2 linked regions of the Arabidopsis thaliana genome follow. The protein of the gene in region 1 interacts with the protein of each later gene in a pairwise test. Each region holds a gene or a part of one and is shown on either strand. Other genes may lie near its edges.

The links.
Region 2: the proteins of AT3G19895 (region 1) and AT1G50575 interact in a two-hybrid assay, tested with the Arabidopsis thaliana proteins (one large-scale study listed by BioGRID).

The regions. Positions count from the first base shown.
Region 1 is NC_003074.8:6,916,620-6,923,602, reverse strand, and holds AT3G19895 (RING/U-box superfamily protein), read left to right. Parts: upstream 1-2,002; 5' UTR 2,003-2,391; coding exon 2,392-2,813; intron 2,814-2,969; coding exon 2,970-3,086; intron 3,087-3,186; coding exon 3,187-3,379; intron 3,380-3,631; coding exon 3,632-3,798; intron 3,799-3,922; coding exon 3,923-4,097; intron 4,098-4,472; coding exon 4,473-4,534; intron 4,535-4,920; coding exon 4,921-5,002; intron 5,003-5,105; coding exon 5,106-5,163; intron 5,164-5,302; coding exon 5,303-5,409; intron 5,410-5,582; coding exon 5,583-5,666; intron 5,667-5,759; coding exon 5,760-5,830; intron 5,831-5,946; coding exon 5,947-6,073; 3' UTR 6,074-6,361; downstream 6,362-6,983. Other genes in the region: AT3G19900 (uncharacterized protein), read left to right, coding at 92-148, 408-542, 686-751.
Region 2 is NC_003070.9:18,727,860-18,732,108, forward strand, and holds AT1G50575 (Putative lysine decarboxylase family protein), read right to left. Parts: upstream 2,640-4,249; 5' UTR 2,438-2,639; coding exon 2,222-2,437; intron 1,865-2,221; coding exon 1,736-1,864; intron 1,663-1,735; coding exon 1,478-1,662; intron 1,394-1,477; coding exon 1,003-1,393; 3' UTR 775-1,002; downstream 1-774. Other genes in the region: AT1G50580 (UDP-Glycosyltransferase superfamily protein), read left to right, coding at 2,972-4,249.

The sequences.
Region 1 (6,983 bases):
TTGGTGTGAGCTTTATTTTATCAATGTGGAAAGATTTGTCGCTTTAGAAGCTAAAAATATAAATCATAGTTCTTAGATGTGATTAATGTAGGAGTTCATGGGGAAGAATCTTCTTGCAATGAATGTCATGTGGAAGTACAGAGAACAGGTAAGAGAATCCTTTGCTGTATACTTGATCACAGAAGCCTAATGATATGATAGTTCAATTGATTTTAGTGTACTTGTTTGGACTTTAGATAATTATGATCTTCGTTTTCCATATCATTCAGATTTGGTATGAGAATCTTTGCCACATAGAAAGATGAAGTGTATATCCATATTTTGTTGGTATAGTTCTTGCTTTTGCAAGTCAATCCTTGTAAGCTAATTCACCTTTATATATTTCTTGCTTCTTCTTCAACGCCTAGAGGTCTTTTCCTCTAACCGAAGAAGAATATATACTTAGACTTGACGATGTAGCCAACATGTTGAAATGCTGGGGAGCAGTCTCACATATCCGTAGCAGCCTAGCAAAGTCGAAGGAGCGACCTCGGATAGGGAAGGTGAGATCAACCTAAAACAGTAACCTTAAAATTCAGACATATATTAGCTAGATCACCTAGGTCGATTAGAGACCACTTTGATACTTTAACATCGTTTTTTCTAGTTTAAAAATCGACATGGATGGTTTCTCCTCTTCATGCAGGCTGTCAGCATTTTCATAGACATGGATTCGACAGGGGGAAGAGCAAATGAATGGATTTACAAGTAAAAATCGACCGGTTTGCAGCTGCTAAACCAAGAAATCAAAAGGTTTTGTCTCTACGTTTATCGTCATCAATTCATTTTGAAGGCTCTTCAGTGATGGTTGCCTGCAGAAACCGAGGTTTTTGCTATATTTGATGTCCAAATCAGGTAGTATATATGTACATGTGTGTATTAAGTAGACACAAATCTTTACTTGAACTCTCTGTGTAAAATATCTCCATGTGTTGAAATTCAATCATCTTTGTGAATCTTCCTCTCTTTGTGATCTGTAAAAGTATTAGTTTTGGCATTCATGTCAGTTTGGGGACCTTTGAGTTGGCTTTGCCCCCAAAACAAAAGTAGCTTTGGGACCATTCCTTGATTAATTTCATGGGTTTGTTTACTTAGTTTTGTTTCAAGTTATATGATTTTTATTAGACATATGATAATCAAATAAGTTATAGTTTCCGGTTTCTAGTTGAGCAAGTCCTGCTCCAATATTATAAGAGCACCTTAAAATACATATTTTTTAGTTGGAAACTTAAACCAACATCATGTTGGAGCATCGTGATACTTTTTTATACAACACATAATGATAATGCTCATCTTCATCATCATTATCATCACACTCATCCACCTCCACGTCCTACATCATCATTAATTTGAGGTTATTTTTCTTTTCTCATAAAATAAGAAAAAGATCATATCATCATTATCATAATTACTATTATTGATGATGTTGTCACATCACGATACACATCATGACTCACATCATCAACGTATGCTTCTTAACTTCATCATGAAAATTCAAAAGCATCCCTCTCTTCTCATCACCACAACCACTAACAAGTAAAACATCCTCATCATCTTTACCATCCCCCATACATCCTCAATTCCTCATTCATCATCACCCCTATATCCCCTTTTTTAGTCAATATATACTACATTAAGTATTGATTATATTATTGCCCACACATTAATGCTACTAAACTAAAAAGATTTGTATTAAGATAACGTTTTATAATCGCAACTTACATCACAATTTTTCAAATTTAATCTTTCAATTAAGTTTTGACCAATTAATTAAATTTAATTTCTTACAATACATACAATTATGTGTAGTGACAATTTTCCTGGCTACATCGCATGTTTTATTTAATTGCGTTCTGTAGTAAATTTTTAAAAAAATGTAAATTAACTAAAAGTAAAATTATTATTATTTTGCCACCAAGTAATAATTTATTACCAGAATACATCAAATTAATTAGTGAATCATTTCCAATTCGAATATGTAGGTAGTTTGACCAAAAAGGTAAAATTACAAAGCCTTTAACACAAACTCAAAACCAGAGTCTACTACATTAGAAATTTTCACAATTACAATTCTCCGGCGAATCCAACGTTTCCGGCACAATTCTCCACTATATTGACGGCGATATACCCTTATACGGCGTTTCGTGGTTACAATTTGTAACCTAACTACTCATCGTCTACCCAATTCAAACCAGTCAGGTTTCCGTACAGTAGTAAAATCACAATTCCTCTCTGTAACAACGATCTCAACGACTTCAACGAGACACGTTACTATTCCAATCCATTTTTCCGACGCCGGCAACTGAATCAGAATCGGAAAACTCTAGAGACATATGGTTGATTGGAGTGGCGATGCACCGGCAGGGCTCGTCTCCGATTACGCCTTCAAACTATAACGCCGCCGTTTCAATTGCTTCTGATGTACCTACTGGTTTAACCAAGTCTCCTTTATCTCACGCGATTCCAGTTTCGCCGATTTCTGCTGCTTACCCTTCCGGTGATCCTATTTTGATGATGTCTGGGACTCCTCTCGCTAGGGTTCGATTATCTGAAATTTTGCCTTATGAAGGAGCTCCTTCTCCGGTGTATGCAAAAGCTGTGGAGGCTTTGTCTGTGTCTTTGATGAGGTATAATGCGTCTGTGATCGAGATAGGGAGTGAAGACACTGCACTGATGCGATGTGGCCTTGAAGCTGCTCGTTTGTATTTTAGAACTAGAAGCCTTACTGTTTCTGGTAAAGGCAATCGTGGCCTCTCTATGTATAGAGCCGGAAGGTTAGCTCTTTTGCGACATTTTTGTTCTCTGGTTTTGGTTTTTGTAGAAAGAATTGGTTTTGCGTTTTTGAATTTGAGAAATTGGTTTGATTTTAGTTACTATAGCAGTTCTTGATCTATACGATGTGTAGTGAGTGATTTTTGTCTTGTGAACAGGTCTGTTGAAGATTTAGATTCTTCACCTCCATGCATGGCTGAGATTTTCAGGTGTTTGGGTAAAGTAGCACGAGCTGCTTTATCTGCAATAGCAAGGCATCTACGTTTAAGAAGCGAGTAGGATGGTTATGATGCTTATTCTCTGTTTTTACTAATACTTGTTGTGTCTCTTTACTTTTATTAACTTATACAATGAGCGTATCTCCTTTTTTTGCAGTGTTTTTAACCATATGCTTGATGACTTTCCACTAGCTCCGAACGAGGTTTCCTCCTCGGTGCTACTGGCTTCCTATGCTCATGCATCGATACAAAATGGAAAACATGCTTCTGGAGGTGGGAACCTATCTGCTAAGATTGAAGTTGAGAAGGGTTTGTTGACACTGTTCTGCTCAGATGGCACTGGCATTCAGGTAACCTCTATTGAACTTTTTGTGTGTAGAAGGTTACATATATGCTTTTATTTTAGCTAAGAAACTTGATGGGAAAACGTGTCATATTTTATCCTTTCGAGGGACGAAATAGTTGTGTAAGAATACTATCTATGAGTTAGACATGATCAGCCATAATCCTGAGTTTCCATTTTGCTTGATTCATTACACTATTCCATTTAGTACATTTGGCTTTTATTTTTTTGTTCCTTCTGAAAGTTCTTCTTTCCTTAGGTATGTGACCCAAATGGTCGTTGGTACACAGCAGATAATGGATGTGGGGTGGGTGATCTCTTACTGATTACCGGCAAAGCGCTTAGTCATGCTACTGCAGGTCTCCGTCCAGCTGCCTCTTACAGAACTACTACCGATCATTTGTCTGCCACTGACACTCGAGGAAGGTATGTTTTTAAGACGAAATAAGCTTTTCCTCAACAACTTAATGACAGCTTTTCCTTAACAAACCTTATGACATGAATGTATGCATACATATTTGATTAAAACTTTAACTCTTTCCACTTGCAGGGCATCATTAGCTTTTAGGCTTATGCCGAAAAGTAATGCTATATTAGATTGTTCCCCAATAGAAGCAGCCGGCCATGTAATTCCTCAAAGCTATGTGCCAGTATCTGTTAGTCAGTTTATGGATAACCTCTTAGCCGAGAATGACACTCTAGTTAATCCGCCTGTGAAAACCAATGTAAGCTCACCCTTTATTACAGTAGTAAAACTAGCTGTCTAGATTGTAGAATTACATTTAAACGTATAAAACATTGATATCTGTAGTACCCAAATCTGCCTTTTTACTTGACATTTGCAGCAGAAATTGTATTGAGGAACGAGTTTTAAAAGTCATATGTCTTTCCTATTCTTTCAGATCATGCATTTTTTTCTTTTAGATACTCTCAATCGAGATTTTAATAAGTGGACGTGCTACTTATATTACTCTTTTTGAGGATCTCACTATTTTGGATCTGTTTTATGATTGGCACTACCTCAATACTATAATGATATAAGTTTCTCTGTTTGATGTTAACTGCTCAGAGCACGAGGTCTTATGAATTGTTGATGTCAGGTTCCACGGGATGATGTTTGCAAAGAGCCTTCCTTAAGAAGTGTTCTCTCGGATCCAATTTCGTGAGTACCATTTTTTTCCTTAGTGTATAATATTATCTATGACGAATAAATCTCCTCTCTTAGTATGGTTAGTTGGATGAATTGCTAAATCTGATCACGTAAAAAGTACCCTAGCTAGGTTTTCTTGAGTGCTGGCAAGCCCTTTTTCTAAACTTCTCCTCAAGTAGTTTTCTATTCTGATTTAGCAAGTGGTCCAAAGCTAATCATCCGTGCCAGATAGTAGACATACACTGAAGACATTATTTAGTCATATTTTGTTACTAGCTCCATGAGCTGTATAATATGTTCAATTGTTTTCCACCTTTTTATTCTGTTGCTGTAATTTTGCGAAGGCAGTGCAGTGAAAAAAACGTTCTAATTTGTCTGTTGCAAACTTTTGATGTTAGTGGTGCTTTTCTTGAAGATGCAATGGTTGTCTCTTGTGGACATTCATTTGGTGGCCTTATGCTTAGAAGAGTCCTTGAAATGGTTGGTACTAGTTTACTTCGATTCTATTAATATGCTAGTCTCATGTGATGGTTCTTCCTATATACCCAAGAATATTTAGTAACCACAATGATCTTATGCACAGTCTAGATGTACGCTCTGCAATACAGAGATCGAGTCTGGGTCTCTGGTTCCTAACCATGGTAATTCCGATAAAGTTCATTATCTTCTTATCTGTGCTCCTCAATAAATAATTTGATCCACGATAGTCTTTTCGGGTTTCACATTGACAAACAGTCCTAACCGAGTAATCATATTTCTTTGCTAATGTCGAACACATAGCACTTAGAGCTGCCGCTTCAGCTATCAAGCAACAGGATGATAAACGACTTTTCCACAACGCAGCCATGAGAAGGCGTAGAAAAGAAATGAGTGATCAAATGGATGTGGTGAGATGATCTGACTCTGCTCTACATATTGCTTTTGTGGGTGGTTTCCGATTACATAGTTACCATCTCCAAACTTATCAGCCTGCATCATCATCTGTTTTCTGGTTAGCTTAAGCTTATGTTGTTGATGAAGATCTGATACAAGTTACAACTTGATCCCAAATTCTCTACAGGAAAATGGAGATCCAGCTACGGATGATGGTATGCATCGAGTGGTGCATTATCCATTTGCTGTAAATGAGAAAGTTCTTATCAAGGTAGGCCATTACATTTCATTTTGGTTCTGATGCATTTTTTCCAGCAGATAAAATTTGGTTCTAGCTTGTTATGGAACACATTTCCAATTGCAGGGAAACCGGCGAACTCCAGAAAAGTTTGTTGGAAAAGAAGCAATCGTGACATCTCAGTGTCTCAATGGCTGGTAAGTATTACTCTATGATATATAAGAGCTGAAAACAAAACTATACGTGATAGGTGAAGCGAGTTGTTGAGTTCAATTCTCAAACTAATCCATTCTCATATATTTTTCAATAAAAGGTATCTATTAAAGATTGTCGAAAGCGGAGACAATGTACGGCTGCAATACCGATCCCTAAAAAAGATGGTGAACGATGACAGAGGAGGAGGCCTACAGGCTCAACCGGTTGAGAGCAATAGCTTGTAGAATGTAATCATATTTAACCCTTTTCTTTTCTTCTTATTCTGTATCTCTAGAGCTAGAGAGAAAAGAAAAGATAATGTGGTTTGGGGTTTTGAGATTCTGCATAAATTTAAATCGTTTGGTTAGAAAAAGAAAGTAGTGGAAGACTATTATTGTAAACTATATTAGCCTCCTAAGTATTAGAGGTTTTGTACAGAACAAAATGTTAGAAAAGAAAAAACAACTGTGTTACTCTTGTTGATGTGCTTCCTACAGAGCAAATTGCTTTCCAATACGATACGGAATTTTGCATTTTACTAATTTAGTAACAAAAAGATTCCACTTTTTTTATATGTAAATGTGTATTCAATCAAGTTGATATATCTAAAGTCTTTCGTTAAGATGGCTTATTGTTATGTGTCACAACGGACAACACGTGGCTTGTGGTTTGGAACCTGCATATGGGAATAGCCATGTGAATCAAACCTAGAAAGTAGAAACTGACAGACCAGACAAGTGTGATCTTGGATACGACTACAACATGCTCATATTTATGGATCAACGGAAGTTAATTAATTTAGTTTCAGTTCATTTTCCTTGGAGGTTAATGAACAACACAAACTCAGGGTTTCTCGTCCTAGATTTTGCGAAGCCATTAACAAACAAACGTTAAAACAGTCTTGATTTTAGGACATGCTTAATATGTCTTTTAAAGGAACCTATAAACAAAGATTAGACCATGAAAAATATGAATTTCAGTTCATGCACCAAGACTTTCACCAATCATAATCATAGGAGCCTTAGATGTGCCAAACAACTAATTGTATGAAAATACCTTGTTTTTACTTGAATTTCCATTTTATTAGTTTTTAATTTAATTTTCTTCTGCAATGCCATTTTGCGAGAGGATCAGACAGAAATCGCATATTTTGTA
Region 2 (4,249 bases), on another chromosome or scaffold:
TGGTGAAGAAGTGCTTAATCAATTCACAAAGTTACTAAAACAATCTAACGCAGACGCATCCTTTAAAACAACAAAGAGAAAGGGCACGCATGGATTCCAAGAAAGCAATCAACTTTCTCGAGGAACAAAAAAACCCATAATCCAAGGGACGAGAACGAATTTTGCAGATAAGAATAAGGGATAAAGTTGAGATTTTTATGGTAAAGGGTTCTCGTTATAAGAAAAAGACGAAATTGAGGCTCTGTTAACCTTTAATTTAGGGGAAGAAAGGTCAAAAAGAAGAAAACTTTTCTCTGCTTTTCTTCTTCTTGAAATTTGCGCTGAGGTTTACCACTTGGATTCCTTTAGTTTTTCTTGAGCTTTGCAACGGAGAAGGAAGAGAAGAGGAAGAAGAAGAAAGGATGTAGAAAGTGAAAGAGGAACAATTATTGCGTTATTGTTTAATATTCAGTGTGAAATAGACTTTTCTAAGTAGGCACGATCTACGGATTACAGACGCCTCTCTCTTTTACTCAAGTTTTTATTTTTGTTTGTATTCAGTTTCTATACCACAACGGCTCTAAAGGTTCTAAAGAAACTTACTTTAAAAAGATCTTAATCTTGCATCTTTTTTTTTTAACTTTTTTGTTTTTGGCACTAGAGGAGGAAGATGGACCACAATTCTGATTGGTTTGGTTTGGTTCTTGTATCAGAAAGTTGTTTGGTCTTGCTTGGTTATAAACTGGTTTAAAACCCCATTCACATGAATATGATAATCATACTTCGATGTCATTGTTGTCTTCACTAGCTTTAACATTCCCATTACCATAAGTTCAGTGAAGTAGAAGGATAACACGAGAAGCTAAGAGAAGAAACATAAGATTGAAAGTGATAACAACAAATCTGATTGGTGTATGTATCAAACACACGAATCTATATGCTACATGTGCCACATGAGTAGCTTCAAATTGGTTGCTCATGGTCAAAAATATGATCTCTTACAGTTAAAAATTACGAAACTCATCATCCACGAGTGGGAGTGGTTTTTCTAAGTTCAGTTTCCAGCTTTGCAGAACCGTCAGGCAAGTCATAGAATTCAGCTAAGTATGTCAAAGCTTCAAAGTTGTTGTTGCATACCTTCCACAGTGCAGAAACTTCTCCTTTAGAAACAGTTCCCAAGTTTTCACAAGTCTCAATGAATTCAAGCAGCTTTGAATAGAAAGCATCATAATTCATCACAATGAATGGAACCGGCAATGCAGATCCAATCCTTTCGAGCTGAATCAATGCCAAAATCTCAAACATCTCATCGAGCGTGCCAATGCCACCTGGAAGTGCAATTATCGCCGTCTTCTCAGATACATTGTTTCTAATCACAGCATCTACTAATCCATGCTTTCTCGCCGAGAAAAACCTAACATGGATTTTGCATTTTAGGGATCACTCATTCTTGTGCAAGCACAGTAAGTAATAACCAATGGTGTGTGGCTATGTTTACCTGCAAGTATGGTAATTCTGAGGAGGGAGATATGGATGAAACTTCGATGCGGTCCATTCACCGGCTTCTTTTTCTATTTTGATGCCACCGACCGGTTTCTCAGCTTCCAAAGCACCTTCAGTCACAGCATCCATAAGCCCTGGTCCAGCACCAGACCATGTAGTACAGTCCAACAGAGTTGCTGCCTGATAAAATACACAACTCTGAGAAATCTATATCTAAACTAAGCTCTTGTGGAGTGTTAAGGGTCTTACTTACTTCTCTGCTCAACTCTTGTGCTTGCAGATAATGTGAATGGTTTGGTGGGATTCTGGCGGAACCTAAGTACACAATGCCTCTCCCGAGCCTATGTACGAGGTCGAAGCAAATCTCAAGCTCTTTCTTAACCTTTCAAACAATGAGAATTCAACAGAATAAGTTGAGAATAACCTCTATCGAAATGGTCTTTCAAGGGGAAACTATCAGTACTTAAAAACCGAAATCTCCAAAGAAGATTAAAGATAAAGTGAAGTTTACTTCTTCATTCAATTGAACAAGAAAAAAGGCCAAGACTTTAACAGGAGATATCAGAATTTACGCTTGTTCTTGTGTTTCTAATTCTCTAAGGACTTGGCTATCTAAGCAAAGTCAAACTCTTTCTGCTGTGATGAACTTGTTCATGAAATTCTATTGCAAAGACTAGAAATGAGAACCAATTTAATGAAATTCTAACTCAGATTCGAAGCAGAGATTTTAGTATGTTACCTCAAATGGGCTACTTCTCTCAACAAAATCCTCAGACTTAACAGACCTGCACTTTAGAGCTCGAGCTGAATATGCCCTAATGGAATGATCAAACCTCAAATTCAGAGAAATTGGATCTCTTTCTGTCAAAGAGCTAGCGAGTTTTTGTGTTGGTGAAGGAGACATCTTCGAGGATAATCGGAAACTCCATGAGGAATCCAACATCGAAACCCCCATTTTCTGATTCTCACTTCCTTCAACTGGGTACCCAACAAAACTACTCTCAGGCTCTCTCAAATTGTCAATTTAAGATCTTGACAGACAAAAAGATTATATTTTTATCTCCGTTCAACTTCACCGGTAGCTCCATGACTATGCCCCACTCCAAAGCATAGGGCTTTTATCATTAACTAATAGAATCATTACACGTGGATTTCCTATTCCAACTGTTAAAATTGGATTTTGAGCATTGAGATTTGATTATTTCAGTAAAATTTATAATGCAAGTTAACAGTAAAATTTATAATGCAAGTTAACAGTAAAACACTGATCTATATTTTAAAGATTTGTTGTTGCAACTTGCAAGCTTTATACATTCAACACATGGTGGCACATGCAATCAAGCAATTAGCACCTAAACACAGCTTAAATAATCCCACTTAATATTTAAGACACATTCTTTTAATATCAACTACACAAAGAAAAGCAACCATTCTTCTATAACTTGAGTAAAGAAAAAAAAAGGGTCAACAATTTGGCTCTCTTGAAGAAATGGGATCAAAATTTCATGCTTTTATGTATCCATGGTTTGGTTTTGGTCATATGATTCCATATCTTCATTTAGCCAACAAACTAGCTGAGAAAGGTCATAGGGTCACTTTCTTCCTCCCCAAGAAAGCTCATAAGCAGCTCCAACCTCTCAATCTGTTCCCAGACAGCATTGTCTTTGAGCCTCTTACTCTCCCTCCTGTCGATGGTCTCCCTTTTGGCGCCGAGACAGCCTCGGATCTCCCAAACTCAACTAAGAAACCCATATTCGTTGCCATGGATCTCTTACGCGATCAGATCGAAGCAAAGGTCCGTGCTTTGAAACCAGATCTAATCTTTTTCGATTTTGTTCATTGGGTTCCAGAAATGGCAGAAGAGTTTGGAATAAAGAGTGTCAATTACCAGATCATATCGGCAGCTTGTGTAGCTATGGTTCTTGCACCTAGGGCTGAATTAGGGTTTCCTCCGCCGGATTATCCTTTATCCAAAGTGGCGTTACGTGGACATGAAGCTAACGTCTGTTCTCTCTTTGCGAATTCCCATGAGCTTTTCGGTCTGATCACCAAAGGCCTTAAGAACTGTGACGTCGTTTCCATAAGGACCTGCGTGGAACTTGAAGGTAAGCTATGCGGTTTCATCGAAAAAGAATGTCAAAAGAAACTTCTCTTAACCGGTCCAATGCTCCCTGAACCGCAAAATAAGAGTGGTAAATTTCTAGAAGACCGATGGAATCACTGGTTAAACGGATTTGAACCAGGGTCGGTAGTGTTTTGTGCGTTTGGCACTCAATTCTTTTTCGAGAAGGATCAATTTCAAGAATTCTGTTTAGGAATGGAGCTAATGGGTCTACCGTTTTTAATATCGGTTATGCCGCCAAAAGGCTCACCAACGGTTCAAGAAGCGTTACCAAAAGGATTCGAAGAACGGGTTAAAAAGCATGGAATCGTTTGGGAAGGATGGTTGGAACAACCTTTGATATTGTCTCATCCATCAGTAGGTTGCTTTGTGAACCATTGTGGCTTTGGTTCAATGTGGGAGTCTTTGGTTAGTGATTGTCAGATTGTGTTTATTCCACAATTGGCAGATCAAGTTCTCATCACAAGATTGTTGACTGAAGAACTCGAAGTCTCTGTGAAAGTGCAGAGAGAAGATTCCGGATGGTTCTCGAAAGAGGACTTGAGAGATACTGTTAAATCTGTGATGGATATAGATAGTGAGATTGGGAACTTAGTGAAGAGGAATCATAAGAAATTGAAAGAGACTTTAGTTAGTCCTGGATTG